Saccharomyces cerevisiae S288C: one gene and its partner. The protein of the gene in region 2 interacts with the protein of the main gene of each other region in a biochemical or structural test. Each region holds a gene or a part of one and is shown on either strand. Other genes may lie near its edges. The genes, in order: PFA4 and YGL108C.

Region 1 (3,772 bases), on a different chromosome or scaffold from region 2:
CCTACGGGTTAAAATCTGACTATGGTACAAGCACGTTCGCCTCATTCATATTTTCCATAGAAAGCGGACTCAAATTTTGAAACCGCATTTTAGAAAGAAAAACTCGATAGCATGTTAAATATTTTAAAGAATACCATAATTCGTTAAAAATACAAAAGTGTACTGATATCGTACTTCCTCTAGGGTAGCACTACCTTGTTTAGGCCAGAAATTAAGTAACAAACTTTTCTTGTTTGCTTCGAGTATACTAAAAAACAGACACTCGGGGTTAATAGGCGGTCTTCCGTTGTTGAGCTCTTTTTTTTTTAGAAATCCAACATCTCTTCGAATAGTAGATTAGAAATAGTATTTATGTCAGCGTTCCTTGAGCCAAATGTACTAAATTTCCCGTCGTTTTAATTATGCTGCATGTTGGAGAAGAATCATTCCAAATGTCAACTTTATTAGAAAGGACTAAGAGTGTGCAAGAGCTGAAGAAGAGAGCTGCAGGGAAAACATCCGCAAATCCCGCAGAGGTCGCTAAAGCTAAAAAAGTACTAAGAAGGCTATATAGTTGGGATGAAATTCCGGAATGGCAAAGAGACAATGATTTTATTTTACATGGATACGTGAAAGAAACTAGTAGCTTCATTGAAACTTTTAAAAGTTTGTTTTATTTGCATAATGAAAGTGTCAATATTTATTCACATTTAATTCCTGCTCTCGGGTTCTTCACTGTACTGTTGCTAGATAAATCTACTATCAAAGTGTTTGCAACAACTACATGGCTAGATCATATGGTAATCGACCTCTTTTATTCGGGGGCGTTTGCATGTTTAATATTGAGTAGCTCCTTTCATTGTCTAAAGAGTCACTCCTTAAGAATTGCTACCTTAGGAAATAAGTTGGACTACCTTGGTATTTGTATATTGATTGTTACGTCAATGGTCAGTATTTTGTACTACGGCTATTTTGAGAAATTTTCCCTATTTTGCCTATTTGCGCTTATTACCGTTAGCTTTGGGATCGCGTGTAGTATTGTGTCACTAAAAGATAAGTTTCGGAAAAGAGAGTGGAGACCTTACAGAGCTGGGCTATTTGTTTGTTTTGGTTTATCCTCAATTATTCCAATATTCAGCGGCCTTTACTGCTATAGTTTTTCAGAAATTTGGACCCAAATTCAGCTCTTTTGGGTATTACTTGGGGGTGTCCTATATATAATTGGCGCTGTTCTTTATGGAATGCGGTTTCCTGAAAAGATTTGCCCCGGTAAATTTGATATTTGGGGTCATTCTCACCAACTTTTCCATTTTCTAGTTGTTATTGCGGCATTGTGCCACTTGAGAGGTTTATTAAATAGTTATGAGTTAGTCCATATAAAGATGGAGAACGGGATTGTCTCCTAGATATTTGGAAAAAACGTAGGATTTATATAGAAAGTAGTTTTAAAGTTAAAATAATAAAATGGTTCTTATATGTGAGAAGAGAATAAAGAAAAAGGCCCTTACAATAATATGTTCAAATATAGAAAAGAAATTCCCAGATAGAAGGGAAGCAGGATTTGTGCACTTTCTCATATGAAATATACACGACTTTAGCGTCTCAGAGGAACATTTTTCTTACTAAGAGCTCTCAATTTAAAATACGGCTTATTTCCACTATTTATTGGCTGTCTCATGTATATTTTTATTATCCTGTTAAACCTACCTCTCTTACTACGCGCTTATGAAAAATAGCGGATCTGAGATACGATAATTATCGTCCCTACATTGTGGTGATGGTGTATAACATGAATTTTAAAAACTGAGTTGATCGTTAAACCATGCCAGTAAAGTTAAGGTGGCCTTGGTTAGGAATTGCTATACCAACGTTTCTGATTTCATTTATAGGCTATGGTGCACACTACTTTATTTTATCCAATTTCTTGTCAGTTCCGAAACAAATAACATTTGAGTTCTGTTTGTCAATGATATGGCTCTCCTATTACTTGGCCATCTGCACAAATCCAGGAAGGCCTTTGCCCAACTACAAACCACCCCCTGATATCTGGCGGAATTTCTGTAAGAAGTGCCAAAGTTATAAGCCAGAACGTTCACATCATTGTAAAACCTGCAATCAATGCGTCCTAATGATGGATCATCATTGTCCGTGGACGATGAATTGCGTCGGCTTTGCAAACTATCCGCATTTCCTTAGATTCTTATTTTGGATCATAGTGACGACTAGTGTTTTATTTTGCATACAAGCTAAGCGGATATATTTTATTTGGCAACAAAGGCACTTGCCTGGCTACTTCTTCAAAAAATCAGAACTGATTTTCTTAACAATATCGAGTCCTTTAAATTCTTTTGTCCTACTAACGATAACAATTCTTTTCCTACGATGTTTATTCAATCAAATCTTGAATGGAAGATCTCAAATTGAGTCGTGGGATATGGATCGGCTAGAATCTTTGTTCAACTCCGGAAGATTAACTCAGAAATTAATTGATAATACTTGGAGAATATATCCAGAGTCGAGGTCGTTTCAAAATAAAAAGGATGCTGAGGAACACTTGACAAAAAAAAGGCCACGTTTTGATGAACTTGTAAATTTCCCTTACGATTTTGATTTGTACACTAATGCATTACTGTACCTTGGTCCCATTCATTTATGGTTATGGCCATATGGTGTTCCTACGGGAGATGGGAACAATTTTCCAAAAAACGGTATTTCAAAATATGAGGCTAACTCCTCATTGGAAGACCACATCCTTTCACTTCCCTGGCCACCAGATGGAGGTAAAACAAACACCGTCTTCAATCATGGCAGCTCAACAATAGAGATGCGTAATGAAAGTGGCGAACAGCTAATAAGGACCAGACTTCCTCAAAATGGCAGACATGCTTCTCGTGAGAAGTGGTACAACGACTGGGGTGAATCACTAGACGATTTTGGAGTGGATGTTGATATGGAATAGAATACTCATTCATGGGAATATCAAGTATATGTATGTATAAACTGTCCCTTATAAATAGTGTCCTTTCGATTACATACTATGCTAATGACGTGTAAAAAGATTCATGCACCAGTGTATGAGTACACAAATATAACCACTGCATGTTATCACTTCTTCCTTTATGGAAAGATCGATGTGTCTTAAAAAGCTTCAAAAACACTTAGAATTTTAAAATTACAATGTTATATCGTTGACATTAATTAAAGGTACACATCAGAAGAAAGACCCTGTCGTACTAAAGATTTTTGTTCTAAATCTAGTTAAAACTACTTATTGAATCTTAGCCCCCTTGTCTGAAGATTCAGTATTCCCAGTCGTTTCTATATTATCATCTTGTGGTACAGTAGTAATGGATGCAGGCAGTACACTTGCAGTAGAGCTGTCCAAATTATCCGACTGCTCCTGTTTCGTAATTTTACCTTTTTCGGTTTCACTCTCTATTCCCTGGTTTCCAGCACTCGTCTTTGCTATGCTGTCTTTTAGGTTCTCCCATTTTTTTTGCATACTTAATTTTTGAGCCTCATCTAAATTATTTCTCAAACCAACTGCACAGTCTAGAAATTTTGATATCAACTCCTTCTTCTGAGAAACCATTCCTTTTTGAGTATTATCATTAGCAATAGTAGGATATTTGTTAGTAGCCTTACGGGTAAAAACATCGTAAGACCCGTTTTCAATATGCAGTTGGTAGGTTATAGGCTGGATCTTAATTTTCAATGTCGATACAGAGATGCCTTCGGGGGAAAACTCCTCATCTACCTCTGTTCCATCAATATCTTGTCCAAATTCGATGAG
Region 2 (2,963 bases):
ATTTGGCAGACAGCAGATCTTCAACGCACCTTAAATCTATTCTTTTAAATTTTCCAGATTCTATTAACTGCTTCAAATGCTGTTGAACTTGGTACGATTTGTCCAATTGTACACGTTGCGTGTTGATCCGTGGTTTCAATGAGCCATCGATCAAACCACGAATAGAATCTGGATTACGTCTAACATATACTTTGATCAAATTCCACAGGGAGTCACCAAAAATCTGAAGATGTAATAACCCGCATTTCTTGATCAATGAAAATATCCAGCCTTTTAGTAAATATAACTGTTCAGACACATCATGGTTGATACCGAGACTTAATAACTTTCCTTCCTCATCAGCAATTTCATGCAAGTAAGTTCTCAAAAATAAACGAAGATGATCAAGTGTAGATTCATCTAATAATTCAACGTTAGCACCTTGCATCAAATACTCAAAATACGTTACATAGGTTTCTATTAGATGCAGCCATACTACGGGGTCCTTTTCAATTAATTGAGCTCTGAGTTTAAACGGTGGAAATTTGACAATGGGCAGAGAAATATCTGCATTACCCCCATTTATTTCAATAACGCGGTTGTACCTTGATAACATTATTCTTAGTGATTCTATCCTATAAAAATTTCCAAGATTCAATAGTTAACTCGAATGTCTCTCATTTATGAGAACTAGTGTTTTATATTTTCATTTTTTCTATGGCCGCGCAAAATCCATTGGCAGATATTCAGGTATATAAACGTTACAAAGCCAAGAGGAGAATGGAAGGCCAACAAAAAAATTCTTGTACAATTGCATATATTGATTCATTACAATATTACTGCCGTCGTTCTCTCAGTCATAAATCATGTTTTCCCTTTCCCTCTCAGCATGCTTTTTCTCGGCCTCTTCCATTAAGCGAGTCTTATGAGACTTGGCACGCTCTTGAGCTAGCTTTTTGCCTAACTCGCCCTTATTGTACTTTTCATTCGTCTCTTGAAATCTCTTCTCAGCAGCTAACCTTGCGGCCTCCTTTGGGCTAACTTTATTTTTGCTCGGATCACTTGTATCAGTTAATTTGCTGCCTTCTTTCCTTTGCACAACCGGGACAGTTGTACTCTTTAGTTGTGTCTTCTTCTTTTTATCTTTCTTCTCTTTATGTCGAAGTTCTTGCTTTGACTTGACTGTATCACGATTAATTGGTTTTGTTCTTGCTTTAGTTGCCACCGTCGTAGTTTGTGAAGGCATTGGTTGGGTTTTACTTCCGCAAAGCCCCATACTATGTACTTAAATATTTGTTGTTGTTTGCTGGTGCAAATTTCCTGGATGATGTTAATGATAATTATAGACCGCTTTTATATAGTCTTATGCCTATCCTTTTCATTTTTATTTTTCTAGAGGGAAAAAATCGCTGATTACATGAGGGAAAAAAATATACACATTTCTTGATCATAGAAGATTCGATCTTATATATTATACGTTTAAATGTTTATTTACAAGCATGCATAAATTGAGATGGGGAGAATGAATGCGCTAGTACTATTGCTCCTTAGCAATAAAGCTATGTAGTTGAGGAACAGGAATGTCCTCGGCACTCAAGTCAGAATAACCGCTCAGATACTCATTTAATATTGGGTATGACTCTGCGCATCCAGTGGTATACCTATATACTTGCTTGGTAGCGCGAAAGTAGGGCGTATATCTTTTTAATATTTTCAAGTACAGCTCTATTCTGTCTTCTGAATTCGAAGTAGAATCCTCATTTTTCAAATTTTCCAATGGCTTCGGAACTTTTATGTCGTCTTCTGTGGTCGTAGTCGTTGCTGGTGTTCCTTTAGCTTTTGCAGAAAAGACCTTTTCATCCCTCTTTGATTGTGACCATACGACAGTGGCATCCCTCAAAGCGGACAGATCAGCATTGGCTATATATTGTTGGCCCAATTCATTCAGTTTCTTGACCAACTCCAGCCATCTATCCAGAATCTCTTCATTATTCGTGTTGTCTATGCTTCCCAATGATTTCAGTAGTATTCTATATGATATAATAGTTCTTGGAATATGGTACAAAGTATAGTTTTTATCGATAAAATCGATTATGCTGCGTTCGTGCCAGATAGATGCTCTAGTTAACATAACGTTAAAAAATGGTTCATCAATTTTTTTGACCCCACTGTAAAACGTTATGATTTCTTGAAGCTTACGGAAACCATTGATATTGTCATTAATATAGTTTTCGAAGAATATTGTGAAAAAAGTGTTGTTTAGTGAGGACAAAATTCCAGGATTAACAGTGTTACCATAAAATTTTACAGCCTTTTCCCATATTCTATAAACATGATCAAAATCGTTCTGTGCTTTCCATATATTCTGCAAAAAAGAGTTCACTGTAGAGACTTGTAAAATAATCTTGTATGGCATTTCATCGTTGATAATTTTGTCAAAGAAACTTTCTGCCAACGTTAAATTCTTGGAATCACCAATGAAGCTTAAGTGCGTTTCAATTAAATAACCGTAATTCCTCACTTCAGCCTTTTCACATAATTGGCCGAAGAGGGATAATGCCTTTTCGTAGTCTTCCGCCTTGATGAAGACTTTTATCAGTCCGCTGTAAAGATTGGGATGGATAAATTCTTTGGATTGAATAATTTGGTTATATAGCTCGTTAGGCTCAGTCAGAGAACGCGTTTTTGCATAAAGTAATGGCAGCATAAAACCAACCACTTTTGGTTCTTGGAATGCCTGTGAAGTAGTCTCGTCGGACAAATTCTTTGACGCTTCCCAAATTCGAATACAGTCATCGTCAAATGACAGCTCTTTAAATGAAGTCAATAGATGAGTAGCTCCATATCCGCTGACAGACACCTTGCCTATCAAAATGTCATCAGATATATCCTTTAATGAATTACATAGAAAGTTCATCATTTCCTTGTGAAAAGATTGCGAATCGTAGTCTGGCTTTCTACTTAATTTTACCAATTGGTCTCTC

Evidence for each region.
Region 1: of the proteins of YGL108C (region 2) and PFA4, one has a biochemical effect on the other in vitro, tested with the Saccharomyces cerevisiae proteins (one study listed by BioGRID).

The regions. Positions count from the first base shown.
Region 1 is NC_001147.6:321,024-324,795, reverse strand, and holds PFA4 (palmitoyltransferase PFA4), read left to right. Parts: upstream 1-1,801; coding exon 1,802-2,938; downstream 2,939-3,772. Other genes in the region: IZH2 (PAQR-type receptor), read left to right, coding at 432-1,385; transcriptional regulator SIN3, read right to left, coding at 3,248-3,772. UniProt on the Saccharomyces cerevisiae protein: Mediates the reversible addition of palmitate to target proteins, thereby regulating their membrane association and biological function. Palmitoylates several amino acid permeases.
Region 2 is NC_001139.9:302,817-305,779, forward strand, and holds YGL108C (uncharacterized protein), read right to left. Parts: upstream 1,256-2,963; coding exon 833-1,255; downstream 1-832. Other genes in the region: CUE3 (Cue3p), read right to left, coding at 1-595; RMD9 (Rmd9p), read right to left, coding at 1,517-2,963.